4 linked regions of the Alligator mississippiensis genome follow. Each later gene encodes a partner of the first gene's protein in a complex. Links are inferred from orthologs where the notes say so. Each region holds a gene or a part of one and is shown on either strand. Other genes may lie near its edges.

Region 1 (7,446 bases):
AAGTCCCCCCCCCCCTTTTATGTTTTTAAACACAAATACATAATAGGGGCCGAGCAGGACCCAAGACAAGGCCCCTTGAGCACATGAAATGGTTAGAAAGGAATCTAGTCACTTTCAAAAAAAGTATATTCAAACCCATTGCCAAGGGTCTTAAAAAACCAGTGGGTTACAGGACAGATGTACAGCAGTACGTATAGAGAGGCAAACAGCTCTTTGCTCGGAGACAGACAAATCGAAGTGACTCCGGATTCAGTCGCTGCGCTGGAGCCTGCGCTCCGGGATCGTCCCGGCAGAGAAGAGGCGCGGAGCTTCCATGCACCAAACGCCGCGTGCCCGGAACCGGAGCTGGGCTGCGGGAAAAGCCTGGAGCCGGAGCGGCGCCCGCCTGCCCGCCCGCCCCTGCCACCCCCCCGGCCCGGGCCGGGCCTCACCCGAGCGCCGCTCGCACGCACCGCCCCGGCCGGAGGTGCCCCTGGGGGCCGCGGCCGCCCCGCCGCTCCTGGCTAGCCGGGCCAGGCCATAGCAGGCGCCGGCTCCGAGCACCAGCGCCGCCAGCCCCGCGCGCCAGCCCAGCGCGCCGCTCTCCCCCATGCGCGGCCGCGGGAGCCGATCGGCCCCGGCCCGGCCCGACCCCGGGACACGTGCGGCGCCGCCGGAAACCGAGCCCGGGCGCCGCCTCCCCGGCCCGCGCGGGAGGGCTTTGCTATTCCGGGGCCTGTGAGCGGCACCAAGGGGCTGTGTTCAAGCAGCCGCTGCCGTGTTAGAGATCCCGTGCGCGGGGCAGCCCCCCGGCCGGCCGCCCTGGGCTCTGAAGTGCTGCAAAGAGCAACCGGGGTCTCCACCAGAGGCAGCTGAACGCCAGCACCGCCCCCGCCGAACGGGGACTCCGTGAAGCCCCCCTGTGCTCCCAGCAAGCTGCGGTGGTCTCAAGTTGCAGCAAGGGAAGCTGGAGCTAGATATTAGGAGAAACTTTCTCACTAGGAGGATAGTAAAACACTGGGACAGGTTATCCAGGCAAGTTGGCCACTCCCCCTCCTTGGAGGTTTTTAAGACCAGGGTGAACAAAGCCTTGGCTGGGATGGTGTAGTTGGGGCTGGTCCTGCTTGGAGCAGGGGTCGGACTAGATGTGACCCCCTGAGGTCTCTTCCTACCCTCATTTTCTATGATTCTGTGACACAAAATAATGGCTATTTTGATAAAAAAAAGATTTTGTGAAAGTAATCAGCTCCTGTCATTCCTTATGCCAGTTCCCTGCCCCTGTTTATCCCTGACATCTGTCAGCAGAGGGAGGTCCTTGCCTGTGCTTACCTTGAATGCACCGGGCTGCAGCCCCTCCACCACCTCCTCACGGCACTCCTCCTGAGGCTTTACCTGCACATCTCTCTGCACCTTTCACGCGCTCCCTGCCTGGGGCCTTCTGGTCAATCTTCTGGCTCCTTCCTGGGCTGGTAGATGGCCAAACTTGCCATCTACCAGCCCAGGAGGAGATTCTGGCCAGGAGGAATCCAAGCACTGGAGCCATTTTCCTGTCACTCTGCACATCTCTGGGCAGAGTTTCACTGACTGGCATCCACAGTCTCCTTGGAATCGTTCAAGGGGCAATGGGCACTGGCAGGAGTTCTTTGCTTGGTGTCTCCACTCAATTCCCTTCATATGAAACTGACCATCCCAGTCACACCCATTCTAATTTTTGTTGTTCCAAGTACTCAATTGTTATGTATCTAGTGGCCTCCCCAACTGAGGGATGCTCATAGCTCTTTTAGCTGGCCTAGGTGCACTGTTCTCTATGTACATAAAAATAGGCCGCTACCTCTGCTTAGCACAAATGCTTCACTATTTTCTGCAGACAAGCTTCTTTGGGCAAAGGTGATATCTTTTATTAGACCAACTAAATCATTGGAAAAATTGTTCTTTACAAGCTTTCGGGCCCAAACCCTCTTCTTTAGGCATAGGGAGAGTCTGCTGTTTGTGTGCTCTCCAGGGTGGAATAGAAGCTTGAGCCAATATGCAGGACTATGAAAATGCAAATCTGTGGTAGCAAAGATCAAAGGGGATGCCAGTTCATAGGTGCAAGACAGGTGGGGAGGGGGAGGGGTGTGTGGAAAGGAGGAATGTTAACTTGGGGACAGAATGTAGCTGATAAAAATGTAGAGAGGTTACCTGGAGTTATCAGATGGCAGGCAGGTTATATATATATGACTTAGTCCATGATTTTTTGTATCCAGTAGATTTATGAAGTGAAGTTCCTAGGCTCATCTATGAAAGGTGTTCTACAAATTCCCTTTGAGGATTAGAACTGAGAAATTGGAGAAAAAGTGGTTGTCTTTTGAGAAAAGTGACCCCACAGGTAACTGGGTATTTCTGTCTTTGATAGATTTTCGGTGTGCGTTGATTCTGGTACACAGTTGTTGTTTGGTCTCTCCTACGTATTTTCATCAGGGCAGTCAGTGCATTGGATGAGATGTTTTATGTTTCTGGAGGTGCAGGGGTAAGATCCAGGAATGGTGATGGTTCTGTTGTGGGGTGTAGTTATTGTGGGAGGGCTGGAGATGCATTGGCAGGTTTTACATTTCTTGTCTAGGCATGGTCTGGATCCATTTGGTGTGCTTTGGGCCATAGACGTTTGCTTCAGGTGATGAGGTTGGTGAGGTTCGATGTCTGTTTAAAGGCTAGGATGGGTGGTTCTGGAAATATCTTTTTAAGAGTTGGGTCTTCTTCTGGTATGGGTTGCAATTGTTAGAGGATTTTCCATATCCCCATCCATGGAAGGATGGTATGCAGGGGCAACATGTAGGGGGTGCATGCGGGTGCATGTGCACCCCCTGTGCATGGTGGTGCACCCCCAGGTGATCCATGATCACCCCTGGCCACTGCCAACACTGCCGGCGGTGCCTGTGGGTGGTCATCAACCCATGGCTGGCACTCGCCACCCCCTTCCCCCCGACAGTGCTGGTGGCATCAGTGGGAGCTCCCTGCTCACCGCCGCCACACTCCCACATCTGCCAGCGCAGCTGTACCCCTTCAGCCACCAGGGGCACACACTGTTCATGTTGGTATGTCATAACTAACGGTGTGTGGCTATATGCAACTATAACCAACACCCCTGAAACATGGAAAATATCACTATTTTTTTACACAAAACCCATGACATCCAACAGCTAACAGGGAGCAAGAAGAGGGAGGAGGTAAACACACTGTTTATTTTACGGATTTCCTCCCCTTCCTCCTGTATTTAATTGTTGTACCCTTACATAAATACCTAGCAAAACAGTGGGCAAGAAAGATGCAAGAGAAGAGAGTTTTAATAAGTGAAGTGGCTAGATGCATGCTTTTAAAGGAATCTAGTTCTTTTGGAAAATATGTATATAAACACACAGTCAAGGGACTTTAAAAAATCTCTTAAGGACACATTTACAATATGCTAAAGATACAGATCGTAAATCTTTCTCTTGACTTATAATCACAGTGACGTGTTAAAGTACTCTGATTTTTTTTCAGGTGGGTTTTACTGATGACATTTTTAAAAGTGTTGGAGAAAGTGGCACGATCTACATCTGTGAACTCTTCATGTGCAGTCCAACCATCTCCTCATTAGGTTGTAAACACTGTGGGACCATCTTTTTGTGTTGCATTTGTACAGTGCCCAGCATAGTCAGGTTCTGGTCAGTCAGCAGGACTCCTAGATGCAAAAATAGATAAATTAAAAAAAATTACAATGAAATCAATATTATATTAATTTCTCAAAGTAGGGCTTATTAATAACAACATCTACTTCCATACGGTAACAGGGCAGGCAACGGTTTGTCACAAGCATATTGCAATCAGATCAAAAACATTCCACGAGCAGTTGCTTGTTTGTTTGTTTTGTGCTTGTCCATTTTGTGAAAAATAAGGAAAATAAATAATTTAAAAAAGTATATAGCATATGAACAAATCAGATCCTACCCCTTTGCATTATGGATGGTGCTTAGCAAGTATTAGTGAATCCTCCCTGTATCCCTATTAGCTTGACAGTCCGTCTCCATTTTACAGATGGGAAAACAGAGACATTAGACTTTATGGCCAGATCCTGAGGAGGTCAACAAATACATCCTCCCGTGAGCAAAGGTCGCCCAAGGTCACAGGAGTCCAGGACGGAGCCCAGAGGAGGCTCCCGCTTTCTTTCCTTCTCAGCGTTTGTGAAAGGCTGCAGCACCCACGTCTCCGGGCACCCAGGCCCCGCCCGCTCCTGCACGTCATCCCTTCTGCCCAGGGGCCACCAGAGATGGGCGGTTTGCCACGCGACTCCGCTGTGCCCGCGGGGCAATCGCCGCCGGCTCCCCTCGCTCAGGGGACGCAGGCGGCGAAGGGAGGGAGCGGCGCGCGCACAGCCCCGGGGGGCGGGGCCCGAGGGACAGGGCGGGGCGGGCGGGGGCTGCAGCGTGCGGCGGGGCGCGTTGCCGGGCAACGGGCGGCCGCGGTGAGGGCCCGGCCCGGCCCGACCCGGCCATGTCGTCCCTGCGCGGCGCCGACCCCGCGCTCCGCGGGTACTTCCAGCGCCACGGGCTGCCCGACGTCTACGAGGTACGGCCCGGCGGGGGTACCCCGCTCCAGGGCGGGGGTGGCCCCGGCCCGGCCCGGCCCGGCCCGGCCCGGCCCCTGTCTCCGCCTCAGCGAGTCCAGGGGCCTCTGCCCGGGCCGGGAGTCCTGCCTTGCTCACACGCAAGCGCTGGCCTGGCCTGGGGCGGCAGAGGCCAACCCCCGAGCATCCCCGCCGGGCCCGGGGTGTCACGCTCACCTGTCTGCGCGGGGGGCGCGAGCAGGAGTCGCCACCTCTCGTACAGTTGCAGCCGCGTATTTAGTAGATGTCCCAGACATTAGGGCCAGAAGGGACTTTGCGACATTGTCGGGCCCAACCCCCCGCCTAAAGGGCGGGAAGTCAGCTGGTGTCACCCCGCTGCCAAATTTTTGGCGAGCGGGATGACAGGATGCTGCCGGCCCGCGCCTCGGACATCCCTGCACTAAGCCCCATTGGTAGTCAAGCTGTGCCCGAGGGTGAGCAGTGCCGGCCCCTATACAACCCTGACTTGAAACTTGCTATAAAACTGCCGTCAACCTGGACACAAGACCTTGCATCCTACCTTGCCTGAAGTAAAGCAGGGGGACCACGGCAGCCAGCATCCTGCTTCTGTCAGGCTGAGTACAGACTTCTGTGGAGGTTAAATCGGGTTCAAAATGGCCACCCGATTTAACCTGGGCTCGTCCCGGTGCCGGCCTGGTGACTGGCAATCAGCGTGAACTGAGACTGCACACAAACCAGTCTAACAACTGCAGAGCCTGGTTTACGATAAGCCTGGATCTACGTAGTATCAAACTTGTTCGATTTAGGTCAAACCAGCGCATGGAACTTGTGTACGCTTTCCCTGCACGGCCCGGGCCTGCGGGCCCCCAGCCCTGGGGCTCCTCTTTTCACACCCCTCCCCCCCTGCACTTGCACTGGGCTATTTTTTGTCCTCCTGGCCCCTTGTTTCCCACCTCACCCACTAGCCATTCCTTTCAACCCCCATCCCACAGCCGCGCCAGGTATAGCTGCTTTTAGCAGTGTTTCCTGCTTTCAGAGCCAAGCAAGTAAGTCTTGGTGTGGGGGGAGGGGATGAAGGGTTGGAGGTGTAGGTTCGCTGGGGGGAATCAGGGGACTAAAAGCCCAATCCCCCTAAATCCCCCTATGAACCCCGCTGGGCAGTAGGGAGGACTGAAATTGGCCGTCAGCGGCGTCTGTGGGCTGTCGCTGCTCACCAACTGCTGCCGGCTTCTGTGGGCAGTTGTTGCTCATCAATCGCTCCCCCTCACCACCACTGCCGCCAGCAGCATCTGCAACTGGTCCCCACTCGATGCTCGCCATCCCCCTTCCGCCGACACTGCCGCTGGCATCTGCGGGCACTCCCTGCTTGCCGCTTGCTGCCGACTACAAATGGTTCCCCCCCAGTTTCAGGAGGCACCAGTCGTTCATGGACCCCACAACCTCCCTGATCTCTCCAGACACTTCCGGACCCTAGCAAAACCCTGTGGCTTGTGCCTGACTGCTCCCTACCCACGAGTCATGCCCTGGCCTCTCACCCCTTGAGGGTTGCACCTGTCCCCTCCACCTCACCTGCAGCTTGTGCCTGCCCCCTCCACCCCTCATGGGTTTCACCTCCCCCCCATTCCCCAGTGGACTCCTGATCCTCCTGAACCCCCGTTGGCCCCCCATCCTGACTTACCCGATATCAGGCAGTCATTTTGAACTGATTTAACTTCCCCGAACGTCTGTACTTAGCCTAAAAGATTGTTACTGGACACTCAAAAGATACCAGGAAGAGGCCCTACCTCCCCTGCCGCCACTAGAGGAAGGTAAAACTTCCCACAGTTGGTACCAAGGTGTCTATGGGTTAAAATTCCTTCCTGACCCCAATTATGGTGATTAACCTGACCCTGAGTACAAAACAGAGAAGATTGCAGCCTCCTTTGTCTTAAATGGTAGAAAAGTTGTTTTTGGAAACTTCAGGTGGAAGACTATAGCGTGCAGGGTAGCAGAGCACTCTCCTCAAGTTGCAGTACTGCATGTTGTAATTGCCATATGGCCAATAATTATATCAAATAATTATAATATCAATAATTATATCAAAGATGACTATGGCAAATTTTAGAATATGCTAGGCCATATGTTGGTCACCCACAGTGTCAAAAGGGGTTTGAAGACTTGTTAAACTGCTGAGCTAGTGAGTAGAATTGCATGCCATAGTGCTAAGGAGCATAGGGGAGACATGGCTTACTTGAAGTCACAAGTGTTCCAGGGATAATAAAATAAATACACACTTTTGGCTTTTGGATTGTTATCTGATCCTCCCATCCTTTCTCTTCTCTCAGCCAGTTTTTTCCTTTTGAAGTTCAGTTGAAACTATGCAGAAGTCGTATATCAGTTTCCTTAATAGTAACAAATTAGGACACTGTGTACAAATAAACTGCCAAAAATAGACCCAACTTGTAGCCAGTTATTGCAGCCTGGATTTCCATGGGAACATTAATAAAGAGGTTTTAAACCAGTAAAAATAACTGTAGAGCAGCACCTCCCTCAACAGTGGTAAAGCATCAGGGGTGCACGTACACCCCCTGGGAGCGCTGGTGCACCCCCTGACTGACTGCGCTCCACACTTAGGCAATGGGCAGGGTGGGCACCGGTGCCCCACCCATGAGCGCTGGCCAGAGAGTGAGCGCACTGGGTGTAGTGCTGCGGTCGCTTCCAGGAGCACCATGGCCGCTTCCCGGTGGATGAGTTCTGCTGCGGGGGGACTGCCCCCACCCCCCAGTCAGCAAGATTGGCCATGCGAGGACCCCTTCCCCCGGTTGCTGACTGGTTGCTGGTGGGGGCACGTGCCCCCCGTGATTAAGGTGACACCAATCTCCCATGTCCCCCAGTCCTCCTAAGCT
Region 2 (7,971 bases), on another chromosome or scaffold:
TCAGTCTGCTTGCAAAGCTAGTTTTTAGTTGTTTTCATTTGTGTAGCTCTATAAATAATAACAAGCTGTGCCCCTCCACCACCTACCAACAATAACAAAACCACATACAAGTGGCAAACTATGTAGAGAGCAGCCAGCCCTGGGGGAGGAGGTGCCTCCAGCCAGGAGCCCTGGGGTTGGGCTCCGACCCGCCCCTGAGTGGCTGTGCAGACCAAGACTAAATTCCCTGTGTTAATGTGGAGTAACATGTCTACAAATGTGTTAATCTGCATTAACTAATCCTGCTTAAATTTGATACTTGGTTTGGGCAGGTATCAAATTTAGGCTCACATAGCATTAAAGGCACACACATGTAGACATGCACCCCTAATGCAGCTTAAATTGGCCTAATCTGCATTAAATGACCATATGTAGACATGCCCAATAATATCTAACATACAACCTTAAATTTCACTCAGGGCACATTTACACATGCATTTGATCTGGGCTCAGTTTAGTCAGGAGTAAATGTCTTCACATGAAATGCTCTGGGGCAGGACTAGGCAGCAGGTTTGCTGCTTTTAGGACCAAATTTGATGCAGCCCTGCAATAAGCCATTGCCGTCACCAGGAGAGCTCTCAGCTCTCCCTGGGTGCTGGTGCAAGGACTGCAAGGGAGCACCCAGCCAGGAGAGGGAGCACCCAGGACTGCGAGGGAGCACCCAGCCTTGGCCTGGATTGGGATGTTACACCCTCCATTACACCCTGCCCCTGGAGGGGGCTGCAGACTTCTGGAGTAGGAACAATATCCCCCTGCCTCACCAGCAGGCAGCTCCTGGCCCTGGCTCCCTGATCAGGGGCAGGGGACTTGGAAAGAGCTGCAGGGGAGGGTTAGGTCCCAGCCCCCTGCCTTGATCCACCAGTGGGGCAGCTAGCAGCTAGCTTGCTACTAGCTGCCCCAAGATGGGGGCAGGGGGCTGGGACCTAACCCATCCCTGCAACAAATTCCAAGCCCTGTGCACCCAGTTGGGGCATGGGGCTGGGACCTGCCCCTGACCAGGACAGTTCCCAGCTCCTGCTCTGCACACTGGGCAGAGGCTGGGGAGTTTGTTCACTGCCCAGCTGTGTGAGTATGGAGCTGGGGACCAGGCTGGGGGGCTTGTTCCATGCCTAGCTCCGTGAGCGTGGAGCAGGGCAGCAAACAGCCTTCCCAGCCCCCACCAGCAGGGAGCTCCCAGCACCAGCTCTGCATTGGAGATCTCCCAACACCAGCCCCATGGTTGCGTAGTTGGCACTGGGAGATAAAGTTCTTCTAGGCCCCTGCTTCCTGATCACCACCTTGGAGCAGGAGGGCTTGGAGCACCCTGCTGCCAGGTAATGAGGGCATAGCATAGTCCCCTCCCAGGCTCCTATGGCAGAGCCTGCCCCAGCAGTAGGCAGCATCTGGGGTCAGGGAGCAATCTGCCACCCCCTGGTGGACAGCTGGCTGGGAGTACATTTGCTCCCAGTCAGGTGTCTACATGAATGCTACTATGCTGTTACTAATCTTGAGTAAATTTGTGACTTGCATTTGCAGGTAGCAAATTTACTCCGTATTAGGGAGGTTTACTACATAGTAAACATGCACATGCTTGCTTACTTCACAGTAAATTATGCTACTGCACAGTTAAGCATCTCGTGTAGACACACCCTCAATGATCATTTTCTGAGTCTTATTGACTTCTGTATATCATTTTTTAGATTAAATCAATAATAGAGGTATGTGAATACAATTCCACACACTAGTAAAAAAATGTATTACGTTAAAATATTATATATTGCTGAATCATAACACTGGAATAAATTATATACAGATTAAGTGAGATGTTTCATTGATCCCCTGAAAAACTATATTTTAGTTTCAAGTGCATTCTTCATTATTTTTTTTCAGGTAAAGCTGAATGAAATTTGAAAATAAAAACAATGTTTTGAATTTAAAAATACAATAGTAAATATTTTTTTTAATTCTGAGAAGCGAACATGAATTTGTAACTTGTTTCAATGTCATTGAATCATCATTTTTTACTGGACAAAGAAAAGTCTGCTCCCACATGAGAGTCTGACATTGACAGGGTTTGGGTCTGTTCTCATGGTCCTAGTTCAGTAGCTTATGACAGTTTATTCAAAACCATGACATCATTGACCATATCCCTGCACTCACAGGTTAAACCATACCAATAAGATGGAGTCAGAAAACCAAACTTCTGTGACTGAGTTTATCATCCTGGGCCTCTCCAGCCATCGGGGCACTCAGCTCTGGCTTTTTGCACTCCTTTTAGGTATGTATGTCATCACTCTTGTGGGAAACATTGTTATCATTGTTACCATCCGGATAGACCCATGTCTTGATACTCCCATGTACTTCTTCCTTGGAAACCTGTCCTTCTTGGATATCTGCTACACATCCAGTGTGGTCCCCCAGATGCTGGTCCACTTCCTGGCCCAGCACAAAGCCATCTCTTTCAGCAGGTGCACAGCCCAACTCTATGTCTCCCTGTCACTAGGGAGCATTGAGTTTATCCTCCTGGCTGTTATGGCATATGATCGCTATGTGGCCATTTGCAACCCCCTCCATTACACTGTCACCATGAGCAGGAGGGTTTGTATCCAGCTGGCAGTGGCTTCATGGGCCAGTGGCTTTCTCAACTCCTTGGTGCAAACCACCTTTACCATGCGGCTGCCCTTCTGTGGCTTCAATATCATCAACCACTTTGCCTGTGAAGCTGTGGCACTCATCAAGATAGCCTGCTCTAACACCTATGTTAACGAGATCATTCTCATGATGGCCAGTGTCCTGATCCTCATCATCCCCTGCTCCTTCATCATCCTGTCCTACATCTACATCATTTCATCCATCCTGCGTATTTGCTCCTCAGAGGGCAGGTACAAGACCTTCTCCACTTGTACCTCCCACATCACTGTTGTGATGCTGTGCTATGGGACAGCCATCTTTGCCTACATGAGGCCCCGGGCCAGTGTGTCACCCAATCAAGACAAGATGTTTTCATTATTCTATGCTGTGGTCACTCCCATGCTGAATCCTGTCATATACAGCCTAAGGAATAAGGAAGTGAAGGAGGCCCTAGCCAAAGCCATGGGAAGTGGGCTGTCTTCTGAAAAAAGATAGATATTTCTGTCTCCTTCTAGATATTTTTCCTCTATAGTCATCAAGGAAGACAAAGGGAAGATGACATTCATGGAATATGACACTGGAGAATGATTATCATTAATAAATAGGCCCATTTACACACAGATGCAATTGTGGAACTGTCTGTCCAGAACTAAACTGAGTGTCCATAGAATTGAAAGGAAAAGTGTAAAATATCATTATATTGCAATTAAGTGTTGCTTCTCTACAAGCTCTTTTTGTAAACTCTGAGAAACACACCAGAATATATATTATCCTTTTACAAAACCCTCCTCACCTGTCTTGGTCTCCTTTTATTTACTGCAGGTAATTATATGGCTTTTCATATTTTCTAACAGATCTGGTCACCCATTTCCTCAGTTGCGTGCTCTAACCCAGGGATTGTCAACTGGGGGTATGCGTACCCCTGGGGGTACTTAGACCGGTCCTAGGGGGTATGCATGGGTGGCTGGGGACGGAGCACCGCCGCCTCCCAGGAGTGAGGACAGTGATGTCCCTCTGTGGGGTGGGGAAGCTCGCATGTGTTGGCCACCACTGCTACACACCAGCCTGGTGAGCTTCCCCACACTGCAGAGGGGCACCACCGCCCTCACCCCAGCCTAATGAGCTTCCCCGCCCTGCCCTGGCCCTGCTCCTGGGGGGTGGTGGTGGTACTCTGTCCCTGCCCGCCTACACAGTGTCCCCACCTCCATGCTCCGTGTCCAGCTGCGTACTCCCCCTCTACCCTCTGGTGTTCGGCCGTGCGCTGCCCCCCTCCTGTCCCCCTACTTGGCATCCGGCCACCGTGGGTACTTAGACTAAAAAAGGTTGAAAACCCCTTCCCTGATGAATGCCAGCTGCAGGGAGCACGGCTGGGAGCTAGGTGCCAACTCAGTGCTGCATGGGTGAATCCCCTGTCCCCCGGGCTCTGCACTGAGGCGGGTGCTCCCTTTGCATCCCCTGCACCCTGCCCTGGCACTGGGTGCAGATGACGCAGAATCTGGGTTTATGCATTTTTCCCAGCTCCACAGCCGCTGCTCCCTTTTGTGTCACCAGCAAAGGGCCAGGGGCTGGAGGAGGAGACAGCGGACAACAGAGAGAACAGGACAAGGGGCTTTCAGGAGCAGGGTCTGTTGGATGAAAGGGAGATGGATGGCATGCAGAGACAACTGTGGGTGCAGGGCCTGGAGGCGGTAGTGGTGGGAGGGGGGCCGGATGCAAAGCCAGCTTGGCTCCATATCGCCCAGGGCGGTCACCAAGATTTGCCCCCCCTAGGGAAGGCCCTGATGGCATAAGAACAGTGCGGAGGCCCCTGGGACCCCAGGCAATGTGTGGGGAGAGAAAAGGGAAGAGAGGGGAGGACGGAAGGAGAATATGGCCTGAGCAGGGCCTAGAGCATGTCTGAGTCTAGTTTCCTACTTGGGTGAAACAGCATCGACACACCTACAGGGTCTCTCTGCCCTCGTGGCCCGAAGATCCCCAGCAAGGGCGCGTGCACAGAAGTGACACGAGGGGCGAATGAAAAAGGCGTCATGCTCCACGTGGAGAGGCAGCAAGAATCACAGCGGGGTGCGGGGCTACATGTCCCAGGCAGCTGTGGGGAGCGGGGCAGGGGCATGGTGGCCACAGCAGGGGCAAGGGCAGGAGGTCGGGGCACGCGGAGGCTGGATCCACAGATCTCAGAGCCGGGTTCCCGAGGTGTCCTCGGGAGGCGGGAGGAAGAGGCCGCGGCAACCCAGCAGGAGGCGCGGGGCGGGGGCGGGGCTGTTCGGACACCCACTACCCCGCGCGCCGGGTCCTGCGCGTGCGCCGTTGCGCAGCGCCGCGGTTGCCTGGCAACGGGCGCGCAGGGCGGCGGCCATGAGCCGGGCCGAGGCATCGGCCGAGGCTGAGCCGCAGCAGGTCGCGAAGCCGTCGAGGCGCGCCCCGTCCGTGGGTGCCGGGGATGCCGAGGAGCGGGTCGCGGCACGGCGCCTCCGCATCGCGGCCCGGCAGGAGGCCAAGCGCCGGTGCGGGCGGGGGGCACCATCCGGGGAACGAGCCCCGCCCCCCCCGCCGAGACCTGGCCCCTCCCGCCGCAGCACCCGCCAGTGCCATGGGCGGGGGGCTGATGCCAGGGCTCCCCGACTGCGCTGCCCCCTCCCCCCCTCTACTGCCTTGGGCCCCCAAGACCCAGTGCCAGAAGGCAAAGGGGCCCCAGTCCATGCTGGATGGCAGTGGTCCAGGCTGGGCGGGCCTTGGCCCAGGGGTGGGAGTGTTGTGAGAGTGCTGACAGTCTTTCAGATCAGCAGTCCTGAAAACAGGCAGCGCGGGTGTCCCAGCAGACCGGCCTGCACAAGACCAACCTTCTTTCCTGCATGGGGTCGAAGGAGCAGGTGTCGCTGCGGACAAGCTGGGGAGCCGTCCGCAGAACAATCCACGCGGGCTGCCTTGGTTGGAGACTCCAACCAGACACGAGTGTATTCTGTAACCCCCCCCCCCCCAAGACCCCCTTTGGGTTGGTCTCCCACCCACATACTGAGATGTTTCAATCTTGTGGATTCATGGGCTTACAGGAGGCAAGGTGACTCAATAAGAGATCTGGCAGGGACAAGGAGATGATGTGTTATTAAAGCTTATGTCTCTACCCCCCACCAGGGAGGCCCTGGGAGAAGACCCAGATGCAAAGAAGGCTGAAGAAGAGGAGCAGAGCAGGAGCCATAAGCAGATTGAAGAGAGCAGACAGGTTAGGAGTAGGCTTTGCGGCCAGGGAAATGGGGTTGACAAGTCCATTAAGGACCATTGCTCCATGTACATGTGGCTTTGCAGTCCTGTTAACATAGCCTGACAGCTCAGGGTCAGCCAGTGGATATGTTCTGAAGGAGCACGGTTGCACACAGGTACTTGCTATGACCACCAGAGACTGATTCTTGAAATACTTTATAGGGAATTTCATTGTAACAAGCTTCTGTGCTACAGAAGATATCCGTGGGCCAGACCAAGCCTCTTTGCAGTCTGGATCTTCCCTGAAGGCTATAGATTGCTGACTTCTGTTCTAAAACATCTGATATTTTCTAACCTACTTGACTTCCTGAACTTCCTTGACTTCCTCCTGTTTCCAGCTGTGCAAACAGGGAGCCAACATGCAATATCTTGAGCTTTCAAGTACAGATCAGACCACGCTGTGTCCTGACCTCACAGCAAAGGAATGGTGAAGCTAGAGCCTGCAAGAGAGAGCTGAGAGTGGAGCTGTACTGCAAGAGCTGCATGTGGTTTGGGTGTGTTCAGTCTTTTCCTGAAAATAAACCAGTGTGATGCCATGATGATAAACTATGGTTGGGTGTGTGAATCCCTGCCAGGTGACATCCCAGATTCATACTTTTATTTAAGCACCTCAATATAAGCATAGGAACCAGCCTGTAGGGCAGGCAGATGTGGAAGTGCTGGCCATGGAGCCTTCCAAAGCATGTAATTCAGTCCATTTGGCCTCATGGTTGTTACGTCCCTTTCCTGTCCTTGCAGAGGCTGGCAAAGCTGCTCCTTGATGGCATGCAGCTAGTAACGAACATCCAGGTGGCTGCCGATGCCAGGGAGACACAGAGGAGGACTGAGGAGGCTGAGCTGAAGCGGCAGAGGTGAGAGTTTGTGTAGGTATGACAGGTGTTGGCTTTGGCATTCCCTGACACGGACATCTCAGAGCAAGGCAACCCGGTCTCTGATCAGTGGGAACTATGTTGGAGACTCCCAGGCATTGGAAAAATGCCCTTAATTGACCTAAAAGTAGAATGACCCCGGTTTGCCTGGGACAGTCCCAGATTTTGGAGGCTGGTCCTGGCCGGCTGGTGAAAATTAAAATGAGCATCCCTAGTGTGGGGCATGGGGGGAAAAGCTGCAGGAGCTGTGAAATAGGAAGCCTTAGTAGATAGCAAAATTGCCATAGAATAGGTTATTCTGATTAGTGGAATGACCATCAATGCTGACCTTGTGAAGGAACAGCTTGAGAGGCTGGATACCTTCAGGTCAGCCGGCCCTGACAATTTACACCCCAGAGTACTCAAGGAGCTGGCTAGCATCATAGCTCAGCCTCTGGCACAGATCTTCAAGAGCTTCTGGCGCGCTGGTGAAGTGCCCGATGATTGGAAGGAAGCCAGTGTAGTGCCTATCTTCAAAAAAGTGAGGAAAATGGATCCGGCAAACTACAAGGCCCATCAGCCTGACCTCTATCCTGGGGAAGGTCTTAGAAAAAATCATCAAGGAGGCCATTTTTAATGGACTGGCCGATGGCAACACCCTGAGGGACAGCCAGCACGGGTTTGTTGCGGGTAGGTCGTGCTTGACCAGTATCATTTCCTTTTATGACCAGGTGACCTATCACCTGGACAAGGGGGACGAGATTGATGTCATATATCTCGACTTTAAAAAAGCCTTTGATCTGGTATCCCATGATCACCTTTTGGCAAAACTGGCCAACTGCAGCCTCGGGTCTACCATGATCCGCTGGCTAGGGAATTGACTCTATGGTCAGACCCAGAGGGTGGTGGTTGATGGAAGTCAATCGTCATGGTACCCTGTGACCGGTGGGGTCCCTCAAGGCTCTGTCCTTGGACCTATTTTGTTCAACCTCTTCATTAATGATGTGGACATTGGAGTCAGAAGCGGACTGGCCAAGTTCGCCAATGATACCAAACTTTGGGGTAAAGCATGCACACCTGAGGACGGGGGTAATCCAGGCTGACCTTGACAGGCTCAGTAAATGAGTGGACGAGAACCTGATGGTGTTTAACACTGAAAAATGCAAGGTTCTCCACCTTGGGAGGAAAAACCTGCAGCATGTCTATAGGCTCGGCA
Region 3 (7,938 bases), on another chromosome or scaffold:
ACCCTCCAGCTGCTCCTGGCAGGGAGGCAGCACCAAGCAGGTCTCAGCCCTACAGCTGGGAGGGAGGGGAGGGAGGGGAAGGGCCTGCAGCCAGCCAGGGGCTGTGCGCCGAGTGTGAGGGGCACGGGCTGTGCCCGCCTGACCTTTCACTTGTCTCTCGAAGTCACAGCGCAGGCGTGTGATCTCTTCCTCCTGCTTCTGCCGGGGGCAGGTGGCACGTCAGATCAGGCCCCTGGGCACAGAGGGAGCTTGGCTGCCCCAGGCAGCCCCCACACCCTCCTCCCCTGGAGGCACCATTTGCGGGTGCCTGGGATACATGGCACCCAGTGCCTGCCCAATGCCCCCTGTCCCCCACGCCCGATGCTCCCTCCTTAGATGCTGCACAGCCCTATTGCTTTCCACCAGGGACTGGAGGTCTCCAGCTCTCGCCTGGCATGGCCTCAACAGTTCAGCCTCAGTGCACCTGCATCCCAGAGCAGCCCTGGGACTGCGAGCATGGGACCTGCCAGGCCCTGGTCGTGCCAGCTGCCTCTACACCCCTCAGCATCAGTGGCAAGGGCTGGATTCCCCATGCTGCATGAGCTGGCACAGGGGGCTGCTGATGCATCAGCCTGTTCCTGGAACCTGACTCTGCAGTGGTAAACCCACCGCATCTGCCCCAGAATGAAGAAGGGGCCAGTTTTGGGCCCCCCACTACAGAAAGGATGTGGACAAATTGGAGAGGGTTCAGTGGAGGGCAATGAAAATAGCTGTGGGGCTGGGGGACAGGACTGGTGAGGAGAGGCTGAGGGAACTGGGCTGATTTAGTCTGGAGAAGAGAAGACGGAGGGAAGACTTCATAGCAGCCTTCACCTCCCTGCAGGGGGGCTGCAAAGAGGACAGAGCTGGGCTGGTCTCAGTGGGGGCAGATACAGGACAAGGAGCAATGGGCTCCAGCTGCAGCAAGGGAAGTTGAGGTTGGATATTAAGGGAAACTCTCACTAGGAGGGTAGTAAAACACTGGAACGGGGTACCCAGAGAGGTGATGGACTCTCCATCCTTGGAGGTTTATAAGAGCTGGGTAGACAAAGCCTTGGCTGGGCTAATCGTTGGTATCCTGGTATCCACCCCACACCGTGCAGCCCAGAGCTCGGCCTCTCCCCACCCCGCTAGGCACCACATACCATGCGCAGGCCTTTCACCACCACCTCGTTGGCCAGCTCCTGCTCCTTCAGCTCCACCTTCAGGGAGCGCATGTCCCGGCGCAGCTCCAGCTCCTGGGCCCGGTGGTCCTTCTGCGCCAGCTTCATGGACACAGTGCCCTCGGTCCGCAGCTCCGTCAGGTTGTTCTGGTGCTCGTACAGCAGGTGCTTCACCTTCTGCTTGTACACCTGGGGGCGGCGGGTGGGTCAGTCCCCGGACAGGCTGGGAGCAGGGGGCACCTGGGGACATGCCCAAGTCAAGCGGGCGCTGCAGCCCTAACACCCACCCCAGGTCCCACTCACCTTGATCTCCACCTGGTGCCGCTCCTCGGCCTCCTCCATCTCGCGGTCCTTGTTGCGCAGCTCGGCCTTCTTCTCATCCAGCTGCCGCCGCGTGATGTCCCAGAAGGTGTGGATCTTGTCGCGCTCCAGCTGGAAGTAGTTGCGCTCCTCGCGCTCGCGGTCCAGCTCCTCCCGCAGCCGCACAATGTGCTCCTCCAGCTGCGGGGCCCAGGCAGGAAGAGGCATCAGGGGGGGCAGCGGTATCCAGGCTCGTCAGCACCCTTTGCTGCCGGCTGGCCCGGGGCACGCGGGGAGGGAGCTCACCTGCTCCTTGCTCATGTCCTCGGGCGCCATGCCGTCCACCACGGCCGCCGCCTTCCCCCCCTTGCCCTTCTTGCCGCCTTTCTTTTTGGGCGCCTGGGAACAACGCGCAGGGCTGAGCCGCGTGCACGGGGGAGGCAGCAGCGCTCAAGTCTCTGCGAGTCGGTAGATGGGGGGTGGGTCCTGACTGCAGATGTCGGCGGGTGTCTCCCTGCCGGGGGTCCTTTGCTGGGCAGAGCTGAGGGGCCCCGACTGCCTCTCCCCGCCCTGCGCGGTCCCAGGGGCCAGCGGGTATTAGGGTTAGGGTTGGGGGGGATGTTGCTGCAGCTGCAGCCCCGTTGTATTGGAGCTGTGCCCAGCACACAGCCCTGGGGACAGGGACGAGCCTGACCCAGCACCCAGGGGCCCCCCAGCTTGCACTCGGGAGGCCCCGCAGAAACCCCCCACCCCCAGCTTGCACCCAGCCCCGTTGCACCCAGGAGACCCCCCAGCTTGCACCTGGGAGGCCCCGCAGAAACCCCCCACCCCCAGCTTGCACCCAGGGGCCCCCCAGATTGCACCTAGGAGACCCCCCAGCTTGCACTCGGGAGGCCCCGCAGAAACCCCCCACCCCCAGCTTGCACCCAGCCCTGTTGCACCCAGGAGACCCCCCCAGCTTGCACTCGGGAGGCCCCGCAGAAACTCCCCACCCCCAGCTTGTACCCAGCCCCGTTGCACCCAGGAGACCCCCCAGCTTGCACCTGGGAGGCCCCGCAGAAACCCCCCACCCCCAGCTTGCACCCAGGGGCCCCCCAGATTGCACCCAGGAGACCCCCCAGCTTGCATTCGGGAGGCCCCGCAGAAACCCCCCACCCCCAGCTTGCACCCAGCCCTGTTGCACCCAGGAGACCCCCCTGCTTGCACCTGGAAGCCCCCTCCCCCAGAAGCCCTCCTACCTCCAGCTAGGAGCCCCCCCTCCCCTGCACCCAGGCCCCCTGCAACCAGCCTGCACCCGGGAGCCCCCCCAGAAGCCCCGCAGCCTGCACCCAGGCCCCCCGCTCCCAGCAGGCTCCCCGCAGCCGGGAGCCCCCTACACTCAGCCGCCCCCGGGGCCCCTGCAGCCAGGCTGCCCGCGCCCCGGAGCTGCATGCCCGCCGGCCGGGCCGGGCCGGGCCCTACCATAGCTGCGGCCCCCCCGGTCCCGACAACCGCCGCGGCGGCCTCGCGAGAGAGAGCCGCGGGCCCCTAGCAACCCGCGCGCGGCCCTGGCAACCGCCGCCGGGGCCTGGCAACCGCCCTAGCAACCAGCCGCCCGCGCCCCGCCCCGCCGCCCGAGCCCGGGCAGCGCCCCAGGTCTCGGGGTGCAGGGATGTGGCTGGATGGGGCCCCCTGGCACGGGGCACGGGCCGTAGGGGTGTAAGGGTGCAGGGGTGTGGCTGGATGGGCCCCCCAGCTCAGGACACAGGCCCGAGGGAGCTGGGGGTGCAGGGACGTGGCTGGCTGGGCTCCCCAGCACGGGGCAGAGAGGACGCTGGGCACGGAGCTGGGGGCAGAGGGCAGCCGGGGCAGCCGAGCAGGGAGCAGCAGGAGCCGCCTGGGCCGGATCAGGCTGCCCGTAGCCCCAGGAGCGGAGCGGAGCGGAGCGCAGGCCGGGCTCAGCTTGCAGCCTCTCCCCGGCGCTGCTGAGGCCCTGCCAGAGGCCCGACACTTGCACCGCGATGGCAGTCAGGGCCCTAGGGGCAAGGAGCAGCCTGGAGCTCTGCGGGGTGGGCAAGGGCCCAGTCAGTAACATCCAGGGGCCCTGGAGCCCGTGCTTCGCCTGCGATGCAGGGCCCTAGGCTGCCCTCCTGCCCTGTGCGAGGCGGCCCAGGCTGCCCTGACAGCGTTGCATGGGCTTTGGGACGCTGCCCCAGGGCTGGCGGGGCGGCTGGACTCCCGCAGCCTGCTCCGCACCAGGGCAGCGGGCACAAATGCAGACTGGTTGCTAGAGGAGCGCTGGTCTCACGCCCTGCAGGGCCCAGCACCGAGCTCAGGGTAACCACAGCCCACATCTGGGCTGCACACCCGGATGCAGCACGGCAGTGCCCTGATGCCCATGCTGCAGTCAGCAGCAAATGCCCCTTTGCCCGGTGCTGCCCCCGTGTGCCATGCCCCCGGCCCCTGAGAAGGCGCCCCATCTGGGCCCCGAGCCCCGCACAGGCAGGTGCAAGCAGGCTCCCAGGGACTCCTGCCCTGGCATGGCTGGGGAGCAGCCTGGCAGCTGCAGCGCCGAGCTGGGGTCCCCTGGGAGCTGGGCGTTTCCATGGCGCCCTGTTGTCATGGCACCTGCATCTGGAGCACCTGCAGCCTCCATCCTCCAGCACCTTGACCTTGGCCTGGAGACCGCACCCCAAGGGGGGGCTTAACCCCTTCACTGCCTGGTGCCAGCACGGCCGGGCAGAGCCCTTCTCTCCGGGGATCGGGCCTCTGGGGAAGGGAGGGGAGCAGGTGGCCTACCTCCCCCCACCACCCCGCCGAGGACCCCGGGCTCCCGAGGAGGCTGGGGGCGCGGGGCCGGCTTAGGACCACCCGCGCCGGGTCTGGCTGGGCTGCCGGCTTTGTTTGCAGGGAACCCCCAGCCCGCACCGGTGCCCGGGGGTGCATGCATGCGGGGCCGGGGTGTATGCTTGCGGGGCGGGGGGCAGGGTGCATGCATGCGGGGTGGGCGGGGTACATGCATGCGGGGGGGCAGGAGGCATGCATGCGGGGCGGGGGGCGGGCGCCTGTCTCCTCCCCACAGCCCGCCCCGCGCCCCGCCCGCCCGCACCCCCCCCATTGGCGAGGCGGGGCTGGCCGGGCGATGCGGGGCTGCGCGCTCCGGGGCCCCGGCCGGGCGGGGCGGGGCGGGCCGCTGCGGGCTGCTGAGCGCGGAGCGCAGCCCGGTCCCGCACCCGGCCGCATGGAGCCGCGCGGCGGGGCCGCTCCCCCAGGTGAGTGCGGGGCCGCCCCCCAGCAAGGAAAGTTGCGGCGTCCCCGGGCTGCCCGCACCGCACCGCACCGCACCGCACCGCGCCCGGCCCGTGTATGGGGGGCGGCCGGGGGCGGGGTGCGGAGGTGTCCCAGGGGCTGGCTGGGTGTGCGGGGTGTAGAGGGGGATCCGGGGGCAGGGGGCGTGCGGGGGGGTGTGATCAGGGGGCACCCGAGGGGGTGTGGACGTGTGTGTGTGGTCTTCTGCGTGCATGCGTGTGGGGTGTGGACGTGGCGTTGCACTGTCCTGGTGTGTGTGTGTGTGTGTGTGTTGCACAGGGGTGCAGATACGTGTGTGGAGGGGGGTGTTACACAGGGGTGCAGAGGTGTGTGTGAGCAGGGGGTATCCTGGTGGTGGGTGTGTGAGCAGAACACCCTGGGGGGTGTGTGCAGGCAGGCGGGCATGCTGGGGGGAGGGTGTCCCCCCGGGCTGTGGGTTACAAGCTGGGGCAGTGTGGGGCATCATGGTGGGGGTGCCTGTGGGCAGGGCAGGGGTGGGTGCTGTGGGCAGGTGCCCCCCTGCTGTGTGTGTGGGGGGGGGGGGGCGCATCCTGGGCCGGAGGCTGCTTGCACTGGTGCAGGGGCGTGTTGCTGGGTTGGGGCCCCCAGGCGTGCCGTGGTGCCAAGGAGGGGCTGTAGGGGAGTGGGGCCCAGCAGAGCCAGGCAAGGGCGTGGGCAGCGGGGCGGGCGGTCCGGTCCCACCGCAGGTCCCTCCTCTGCCCTCGACTGCAGGTGAACGTGAGTCAGCAAAGAGGAGACAGCAGAGATCCCCGCCCCGCTCCTCCGGCCGGGGCAGGAGAGCAGGGGACACTGTGCCACAAGGGGCTGGGGCACAGCGGGCGGCGGGAAGGGGGCCCCATGGCTGTGGCTCTCACAGCAGCGTTTGCTCCCAGGTCTGCTCCCCAAGTCCGCATCTCCCACCCCTGCCAGGAGCTCTGAGCCAGTGACTGGGGAGGGGGCTGCATCCCAGCCAGCAGGAGCCAGACTTGACCCCCTGCCACCAGTGAGGGGGTCAATCCTCTCCTTGCCCTGCACCCACTGCACTGTGCCTGCCCCAGGCTCCCCCTTGCCTCTAGCGGGATTTCCTGGCCTGCCCATGTGCCCCATCGCCCTCCTGGCACACTCAGGCCGGCAGCTGCTCCTGGGGGACTGCTGTCCTGCCCCGAGAGAACAGGACAGAGCATGCGAGCAGATGGTCAGGGAAGGCCTGAAAGGTTGCCTTGGTGGGCATGAGCCTGACCCAGCCCAGCCCGTCTCACCCAGGGGTGCCAGGGGCTGTGGCAGAGCAGGAGGGATCGGGCGGCCCCCGCGGGAGAGGTGGGGAGCTTGCTGCCCGGACAGTTTTTCTCCGGCTCAGGTGTTTGAGTTAAAGAAACATGAGGAGTCCAGTGTTGGCGCCGGCCTGGCCCCGACCCCAAGCTCCCAGGCGCCGGCAGCCAGAACTGGATCAGGATTTCCCATGAATAAAACCGTGAACGCTGAAAGATGCCTTAGGGAGCTGTAACAACCCAGCCTTACAGCCCTTGTCCGTGCCCAGGATGCTGGACCCTTGAGACCCCGACGGTGCCAGTGCTGGAGAGGCCCAGGCTGGCACCTGGCGGGACTGGCTCCCCTGCATGCCCCTGGAGAGCCAAGGGCCGCGGCCCGCGGGCCAGGCCACGCTGCCAGGGAGCACCCAACCGCCCCCGGTGTTGGGTCTGCGCTGCCGCCGGCGGCTGCGCGTGGAGCTGCCCGCAACGGCAGCCGGGCTGTGAATTATTCATCGTCTGGGCTGCTAAAAATATTCCGCTCCCCTCCCCCTCCCGAGCCACGCCGGCTGTGCACAACTGCACACACCCCTTTGCGGCCACACGGCGAGACCCCCTGCCCCATGCAGCCGTGTGCGGGGCTGGGAGTGGGGGGCAGCATCAACGCCGTAGCCGGCTTGGCCCCAGCGCCCCCCGATCTCCCATGCTCGTAGACAAGCCGCCCCTTGTCCCCGGCCTCCCAGCACAGGCTCCGCTTTTGTCTGCGGGGACAAAGGCCCAGCAGCGGGGATGGCTGGCGGCTGGCACGGTGGCCTCAGGGTCCCCACCATGAGCACTGGGCCCTGGTACCCGTCTGCATCCCCCCACCGGCCTGTCTGCCACACCTGGGCCTGCCCCAGGGGTCCCTCGGTGACACTGCTGCTCTCAGCCTGGGGGCTCGCTCCCCCGCCTGCTACAGAGCCCCACCAGTCCCAGCCCCCGGTGCAGACAGACGGTCCCTGCCTGCCTCGGCCCCACTGCCGGCAGCTGTGACCAGGACCCTCGCCCTGGAGCATCCCTGGCTTTCACGGAGGGCGCTGCGGGTGACAAGGGGCCAGGGTAGAAGCTGTCATGGGGAGGGGGCAGCTGCTCCAAGCGCTGGGGCTGGAGCGGAGCAGGGGCAGCTGCTGGGAGCTCCCCCAGGCCCCCTGCCCAGAGCTCAGGGCTCTTCTCAGCAGGGCTGGGTCAGCCCTGGGCAGAGGAGCCAGGGGGAGTCCGGCTCTGCTGCTACCAGGGCTTGACGGACAAGGAGGTCCTGCCACGTAGCCCCCCGGACGCAGCCTCAGCTTTAACGCAGCAGGGCTTGCTCTTGCAGAACTTGTTAGGGAGGCTCCAGCCCCAGAGCGAGTGGCCGCCGTCCCCATCCCGGTGCCTGTGCCAGCCCCTGGGCCAGGCGAGGAACTCCCGGCCGAGGAGCAGGGTGGCATCCCCATCCCCAGCTCGGGCCTGCTGCAGGTGGCTGAGAGGAGACGTGAGTATGAGACGCCCCGGTCAGGCCCCTCCCCGCCCAAAAGGAAGAGGGGCTCCTGCATGCCCTGGTGCCGGCCCCCAGCTGTGGGAGCCTGGGTGGGGGGTGCTGGGGGTCACGCTGGCCCTGTATCTGAGCCGGGCACCCTTCGCAGAGCCGCTGAGCAGCGTGTCCTCGCTGGAGGTGCACTTCGACCTGCTGGACCTGACCGAGCTGACGGACATGTCAGACCAGGAGCTCGCTGAGGTCTTTGCCGACTCCGACGACGAGAACGTCGCCGAGTCCCCTGGTGGTGAGCGTGCCTGGGCTGGGAGTGGGGCTGACCGCACATGTGTACACACACACACACACACACGAGTGCACGTCCACTCATACAGACAAGACTCTTACATGCACCCGCTCAGACATCCACGCA
Region 4 (7,318 bases), on another chromosome or scaffold:
CTAATTTACTTACTTTTTAGCTTTGTACACATACGCGCATCTCTTGCCCAAGTAGAATTCAGTCTCTTGGCGAGCGTAAACGCCTTCAATTTTCAGAAGGGCCGTGTGCTCCCTCTGGTTTCGAAGGCCTCGCTTATAGCCAGCAAAAATGGCCTTGGACCACAGTCTAAGAAACAGCAAGTATGTTAATGAACTGAAAACCAACAGCAAGCAACCTGGATTTCTGAATAAGCTATTTCTGAAGGGACTACATGCATGCTGGGATCAAGAAATAGTGCTTTATTCACAAGGAAGTAAATATACTAGCATTCGCAATTAGGGGTGAATAAGGAAGCTTCCACAACAGGAGACATTTATAAACAGCTCTACTTCTCTCCATTAGAAACCTCCTTTTTTCCTCCAATGATTATCACTAAAAAGATGATAACGTTAAGAAGCAATTTGCTTTTTTTTAAAGTTCTTTATACACACACATTTCAAATGTCTAGAAAATAGATTCTATCACTTCATTGCATACATGATAATGCAGATTAATTGATTTTGGATCTTTGCTACAGTAACCAACTCTGTAATAAGAGATGTAACAAAAAAGTGCTGTACTGAAATGATTTTTTGCAGTTTCTATGGGGAAATGCAAGCCTGTTCCATGTGGACAGTGCAGGACTCCAGCATAATTCAGGACACTTGAAACCAATAGCTAAGAGTCCTAGAACTGTGCTTAATTGTATCGGAACAAATATTGTATAAAGCTTTCTTAGCATGGGTAATATTATAAGGTAAATCCTTTTGGACAACAGATTTAAAATGTCACCAGTATTTTCACAAGACAGTTTGTTCAAGATTTAAATCTGTAACTAACAGGGTAGATCTGATTTAAATCAAATGGATTTAAATAATGATTTAAATCACTGGCCAGGAAGCCTCAGTTTAATCACTGATTTCTACAAGAAGTGCACTGTTGTTGTTTGATATCCTTTATTCATTTAACTTCTTGAAACTTTCCATTTTTAGGGAGAGGTAAGGGCTTGACTGTGCATACCCGAACTAGCAGAGAGACAACAGGGCTGATGGGTGAGTAATCAGTAGTGGCGCGCGGATATATCTGTCTGTATTGGATCAGCACCGATAAAAGGAAAATTGACATTATTGGCAATCAGCTTTTTTTGGCTGGTGTAGCCAATAACATCATTGATAAATTCCACATGCATGTGCACAGCTGCACCATGCACACAGCCAGGAATGCAGCCCCGCAGCTTGGAGAGCAATGTCCTGCTGGTAAGTCTGTGTGGGGGGCAGATTGAGGCCCCCATAGTGAGAGAGAGACTGGGGTAGGTGATACCCAGCTGGGTTGAAGCATGGGACAGAGCTGTGGGTGGCTCTACAGGGGGGCATGGGAGGATGGGCAGCTCCCCACTGCTGCACACACCCTGGGGGAGGAAAGCGGGGTATGAGGCCCCCACTGGATTTGTGCACGGGGTGAGGGCGAGCTGCCTGTTGTGGGCTCAGGGGCTGTACCAGCCTCTTCCTGGGCATGGGGGGACGGGGGACACGACGACTATGGCCACCCCAAAAATTCACCATAGACCCCCACTCCCAGAACTGCCACTACCCACCTCAAGAGCAGCCCTGGCCCAGCACTCCCACCAAGAGGCCAACACAGGCCCCAGCCCCAAAGCAGGCAGCCCGCCCTTGCTCTGTGCACAAATCCAGGGAGCACATGCCCACCCTGCCTCCCCCGAGGGTGCACACCAGCAGCAGGGAGCCACCCATCCTCTGCTGGGCCACCCACAGCTCTGTCCTGTGTCCTGCCCTGGCTGGGCAATGCCTGTCCCATTCCCTCCCTCACCATGGGGGCTTTGAATTACACCCCCTCCACCAACAGACTTACCAGCTGGACGCTGCCAGGCTGCATATCAGCACTCAGAGCGGTATCAGCTGATATGGCCTTTGGTATTGACCAAATATTCCCATTAGTGGTACACTCCTAATAAAAGATATTGCATCTTCCCAAAGAACCGTGTCTGCCTGTGAACTCTGGAGAGACAAATTCACAGTCTGAGAACTGAAATGAAGCATCACAGAGACGTTTAATGGGATCTTCTGGACTGAGCGCTGAGTCGCACTGAGTAGAGTGGTTTTCTTTAATCTTTACTAATCTATAGATAAAGAAACCTCTTGGAACCCCATAAGATTGGGCCCCTAATATAGGCCACGGCTTGTTGTGACCTATTTATAAAACTTCTAAAAAGGTTGCACAAATACACAGGGTGTTTATATAAAGTCCTTGTGTAACTTTATAAACATGAATAACTTTGGATGTGCACGACAGAAGCAACCCAAAACGACATGCTTACACCACGCTAAAAACTTAATTATGGTTTCAATTGCTATTTACAGTTTGCTATAACAGACAAAGTTATTCAAGTTTAAAGTTGCACAAGAACTTTATAAACACCTGTATATTCATGTAACTTTTGCAGAAGCTTTATAATGCATCACAACAGGCTGGGGCCTATACTATGGGCCCAATCACTGGATCATAGACAGACACAGGAGGGACGCCAGACCACCTACTGTTAGCGCAGACTTAGTGAAGGGGCACTTAGAGGGGCTGGATGTGTTCAAATCAATGGGCCCAGATGATTTTCACTCAAGGGTGATGAGGGAATTGGCCTGTGTCATGGCAGAGCTGCTGGCACGGCTGTTCGAGCACTTGTGGTGCTCCGGTCACGTCCCAGAGGACTGGAAAAGGGCAATGTGGTCCCTATTTTCAAGAAGGGGAGGAAGGAGGAACAGGGAAACTAGGCCAGTTCGTCTCACCTCCATCCTTGGGAAAACTCTGGAAAAAATAACATTAAGGACCACATTTGTGGGAGCCCAGCAGGGGAATAATGCTGAAAGGAAACCAGCACCGGTTCACTGCCCAATTAACCTGGTTTCTTTTTATGACCAGGTCACAAAATGCATAGACGCAGGAGCTGAGGTAGATGTCATCTACCTAGACTTTAGGAAGGCCTTTGATACGGTATCTCGTTCTGTTCTGGTAAATAAACTGAGTGGCAGCGATGTAGATAATTGCACGGTCAGGTGGGTGACAGATTGGCTTATGGGGTCGCACCCAGACAGTGGTGGTGGACGGGTCGGTATCGACCTGGAAAGATGTGGGCAGCGGGGTCCTGCAAGGCTTGGTCCTTGCACCGGTGCTGTTCACGTCTTCATCGGTGACTGGGACGAGGGCGTGGAGAGCACCCTGTCCAAGTTCATAGCCAAATTATGAAGCAAAATGAACGCACCAGAGGGTAAGAAACAGATCCAGGCGGATCTGGACAGGTTGGAAAAACGGGCAGAACGAAACAGGACGCAGCTCAACAAAGACAAGCGCATCCGTGAATCCTACGTTGCTCTTACGCAGCTCCCAGAGCTGAAAGTTATTGAAATCGCACCCGGACTTTAGAAACACTCGTGTAACCTTTTTACAGGTTTGATAAATACGTCAGGACAGGCCGGGGACTATAACGGGGCCCAATTTTATGGGGCTCCTCTACAGACAAAAGTTATTAAAACTCAGAAACACCCCGTGTCCTCGTGCGACATCTTTACACGCTCAGGAAATGCGTCAGGACAGGCTGCGGACTGTATCTGAGGCCCAATCTCGAGGCTCGTCTACAGATTAAAGTCACCCGAGCTGCACTGGGAGTTTAGACGTGCCCGCATCATCTCTAGGAGTTTATAATTAGATATCACAATAATTATGAATAATAATAATTCCTATTCCACGATATTTTGGAGCTTTTACAGATCTTCAACGAAAACGATCTTTATAGCAAATGAAAGCATCTTAGCCATAAAAAAGTGATTAAATTTTAAACCAAAATATCTTATTTCAGTGAACACCCCGTTGGTTCCCCCCCCGGTAACCGGCGCGGTGCAGCCGCCTGGGCCCCGCGAGTGGCTCCGGGCCGCGCGGCTCGGGCAGGGCTCTCACCTCCCGGACATGGCGGCGCGGCGCTGGTCCCGGCGGCCTGCAACCAGAGACGTGGTGTGAGCACCGCGGAGCCGGCTCCGCACCATCCGCCGCGCATCGGCGCCATCCCGCGGCCCCCGCCCCCGGCCCCCCGCAGCCCGCGGCCCGCCCGGCTCGCCCGCCGCCCCCCGGCACCCCTCGCTCCGCGCCCGCGGCCCGCGCCGCGCCGCCGCGCTCCCCTCACCCTGCCGCTCCGCTCCAAGATGGCGGCGAAAGAGGAGGCCGCGGCGCGCGGCACGCCGGGATAGCCGCGCGCAGGGCCCCTGAGGCGTCCGCGTCGCGCCTGACGGGGCCGCGCGCAGAGCAGGCGGCACCGGGGCAGCCTCTGAGAAGGACCCCGGAGCGTCGGCGTCGCCATGGAGACCGGGCCGCTGCCGCCGGCCGCCGCCGCGTGAGTGTCGCTGTGGTGATTGCCGCCTCCTTGTGCGGGGGGGTCCTCGGGGGGGGGCTTGTCGTCAGCAACCGTGTCACTGCCGCGGTCGTCCGCAGCGCGACAGTGATGCCGGTGTCCATGACAACCACTAACGGCTGCCATTCATGATTAGCATCTGGTCGGACGCTGTCAGTTAGTGGCAGTTGCTGTCGTCATCGCCATTACCGCCACGGTCCTGGCTGCTGCCCTCCAGTCTTGTCCTTAGTACCATCCGTTTCCACTGGTTTCACCACTGGCGTTGTTTCGAGGTCGAAACAGCAAAATCGAAACGGAACAGATATGGTCGAAACAGCCTCGAAACGGAAACGAAACGTGTTGCCGTTTCGATGCCGTTTCGCCCAGAGGAGATAATGGGGAAGGTCAAAACAGCCTATAACTTTGTCGTTTCTGGCCAGATTGGGATAAAACTTGCACAAGTGGTAGTCCCTTCTGAGGGCGTGATGCGTGCCACGTTTCCAGAAGATCGGTGCGGGGGGTTCGGAGAAACGGCACCCCAAATTCTTGAGAGCCAAGCTTGTGTCGTGTGTATGTGTTAAGCCGCGGCAGGCGACAGCTGCAGGGAGGGTGGCCCCTGCTGCGGACACGACGCCTGCTGGCTGTCGAGGAGACCAGTGCGGGGGAACTGCACCCCAGCTGCTGACTGGGAAACCTTGTGCCGTGCTAGGAGTAATGGTCGCAGTCGGGACACCCTAGTTGTGAGGTAGTTTTTCCTAATGTTGAGCCTGAAACGAGTCTGAATCGATCTCCCAGGAGTTTGTGACCATTGCTCCTAGTTTTCCCCTGTCTCTAGTGGGTTATGGAATAGAGAAAATCCCACACAATTTACTGATTCGTTTTGATGCACTGGCTGGGGCACGATTTTACAATGATTACACACTTAATTCATACAACACAATTTTATTTTAAAATTCTTTGCGACGCATATAACACTGCTTAGCTTAGAAATACCACAAACATTAAGAACACAATAATTACATATATCAGAAACAATGCTCCGAATGCACTTCCTTCCCAAACAATGCTGTAAGAATTAGTATTACAAAAACAACTACAATTACAACTAAAAGTTAAATTTGAATCAATACTGTTATTTTCAAAATATACTTACAATCCTAGAATTCCGAGAAGCCAAACACCTAAATACAGTTTCATTCCTCAGTAGTACAATTTAATGGGTTGGCCTCAGTCGTACGGTTCAATGGGCTCGCCTCAGTAGTACGATTCAATGGGCTGGCCTCAATACTGATAGGACTAAGTCCCCTGCCTTCAGTCCCTTTTGGGCGCTCTGCCCAAAGGGGAGTACATCTAGGGCTCGGTGAACAACTGTTCACCAGGGCACCCTTGGGGATGTCATATTGAATGAAATAGTTTGAATGTTTGTAATGGTTGCCCATTAGCCAGTTTCAGGAAGAAGATAAGATTTATCTCCTTATCTAGCTCATTGATCAGACTGATCACCTGAACCACCCCCTCTGTGAACACGAATCTTTTAGTTCACGCTGAAGCTGCAGAGCGCTGACTTCGTTAGGCTTTCCGAAGCGGTTCGGAAAAGCTTCAGAGCCGTTTTGGAGATCCAGCCATAGGGTATAATGGGGAATCATCCCTGCAGCTTTCACCCCGCTGCGCCTTAACACACACAGGGTCACCCATGTCATGAGTTTTGCCTGTCAGCAGTCAGAGGTGCAGGGCCCCAGAAGCCAGACTCCCCCTGCACCGATCTCCTTGACAGCTGGCAGGCTTCGTGGCCTCACTAGGGGCCACGACCCCTGCAGTTTTCAGCCCGCTGCACCTTAACACACACAGGGTCATCTGTGTCACGAGTTTTGCTTGTCCGCAGCTTGAGGTGCAGTTCCCTCCCCAAACCCCTGCACCTATCACCTTGAAACTTGGCAGGCTTTGTGGCCTCACCAAGGGCTACCATCCGGCAGTTTTGACTCCACTGTGGCTCAACGCATACACGACATGAGTTTTGCTTTCAGGAATTTGGGGTGCAGTTCCCCCTGAACCCCTGCACTGATCTTCTTGAAACATGGCAGGATTTGCTGCCTCACCAGGGGCTAGCATCCCTGCAGCTTTGACCCCACTGTGTCTTAACGCATACACGTGGCGTGCGTTTTGCTCTCAAGATTTTGGCGTGCAGTTTCTCCAAACCCCCTACACCTATCTCCTTGAAACTTGGCACGCATCATGCCCTCAGAAGCAGCTACCATTTCTGCAAGTTTCATCCAAATCTGGCCAGAAATGACAAAGTTATAGTCTGTTTCGACCTTCCCCATTATATCCTATGGGTGAAACATCGAAACAGGGTTGAAACGGCAAAACGTTTTGACAGAATGAAACGGAACAGCCGTTTCAACTTGAAACAAAAGTCAAAATGAAACACTGTTCTGTCGAAACGTTGAAACGCTGATCAAAACGAAACGCTTCTGTTTCACACAGCTCTAATTTCCAATATTGTTATTATTAGTGATGATCATAATTGTGATCACTGTTACTATCCTTTTTGCTAGCATCCATTATTGTAATTATTACAATCAATTACAACTTATTTCCAATATATTATTAACAATTATCTATTATAATCATGATCGCTTGCTTTCCATATTGCTACCATCAAGTATTGTAATTATTATACTAAAGTCCAGCTTATTTCCAGTATTATTATTATCAATGATCTATTATCGTAATCATGACCACTGTTACTATCCTTATTGCTGCCATCCATTATTGTAATTATTATAATCAATTTTGACTTATTTCCAATATTATTGTTATCTATTATCGCAATCATGATCACTATTACTATCCCTATTGCTACCATCTGTTATTGTAATTCATTATTATAATCAATCACTACTTAT

The links.
Region 2: FBXL13 (region 1) and DRC1 share a complex: the UniProt entries of both Homo sapiens proteins name them as parts of the nexin-dynein regulatory complex. The link is inferred for Alligator mississippiensis from reciprocal best matches to the Homo sapiens genes FBXL13 and DRC1.
Region 3: FBXL13 (region 1) and GAS8 share a complex: the UniProt entries of both Homo sapiens proteins name them as parts of the nexin-dynein regulatory complex. The link is inferred for Alligator mississippiensis from reciprocal best matches to the Homo sapiens genes FBXL13 and DRC4.
Region 4: FBXL13 (region 1) and IQCG share a complex: the UniProt entries of both Homo sapiens proteins name them as parts of the nexin-dynein regulatory complex. The link is inferred for Alligator mississippiensis from reciprocal best matches to the Homo sapiens genes FBXL13 and DRC9.

What each region holds. Positions count from the first base shown.
Region 1 is NC_081827.1:24,344,835-24,352,280, reverse strand, and holds the start of FBXL13 (F-box and leucine-rich repeat protein 13), read left to right. Parts: upstream 1-4,440; 5' UTR 4,441-4,488; coding exon 4,489-4,563; intron 4,564-7,446. Other genes in the region: ARMC10 (armadillo repeat-containing protein 10), read right to left, coding at 432-591. UniProt on the Homo sapiens protein: Substrate-recognition component of the SCF (SKP1-CUL1-F-box protein)-type E3 ubiquitin ligase complex.
Region 2 is NC_081828.1:76,329,185-76,337,155, forward strand, and holds the start of DRC1 (dynein regulatory complex protein 1), read left to right. Parts: upstream 1-4,970; 5' UTR 4,971-5,004; coding exon 5,005-5,153; intron 5,154-5,781; coding exon 5,782-5,869; intron 5,870-6,645; coding exon 6,646-6,758; intron 6,759-7,971. Other genes in the region: olfactory receptor 2F1, read left to right, coding at 2,200-3,144. UniProt on the Homo sapiens protein: Component of the nexin-dynein regulatory complex (N-DRC) a key regulator of ciliary/flagellar motility which maintains the alignment and integrity of the distal axoneme and regulates microtubule sliding in motile axonemes.
Region 3 is NC_081833.1:76,095,955-76,103,892, reverse strand, and holds the start of GAS8 (dynein regulatory complex subunit 4), read right to left. Parts: upstream 3,001-7,938; 5' UTR 2,946-3,000; coding exon 2,943-2,945; intron 1,881-2,942; coding exon 1,788-1,880; intron 1,683-1,787; coding exon 1,485-1,682; intron 1,371-1,484; coding exon 1,164-1,370; intron 199-1,163; coding exon 144-198; intron 1-143. Other genes in the region: DBNDD1 (dysbindin domain-containing protein 1), read left to right, coding at 4,702-4,732, 7,371-7,526, 7,678-7,815. UniProt on the Homo sapiens protein: Component of the nexin-dynein regulatory complex (N-DRC), a key regulator of ciliary/flagellar motility which maintains the alignment and integrity of the distal axoneme and regulates microtubule sliding in motile axonemes.
Region 4 is NC_081830.1:85,493,324-85,500,641, forward strand, and holds the start of IQCG (dynein regulatory complex protein 9), read left to right. Parts: upstream 1-4,313; 5' UTR 4,314-4,380; coding exon 4,381-4,415; intron 4,416-7,318. Other genes in the region: RPL35A (large ribosomal subunit protein eL33), read right to left, coding at 14-166, 3,986-3,996. UniProt on the Homo sapiens protein: Component of the nexin-dynein regulatory complex (N-DRC), a key regulator of ciliary/flagellar motility which maintains the alignment and integrity of the distal axoneme and regulates microtubule sliding in motile axonemes.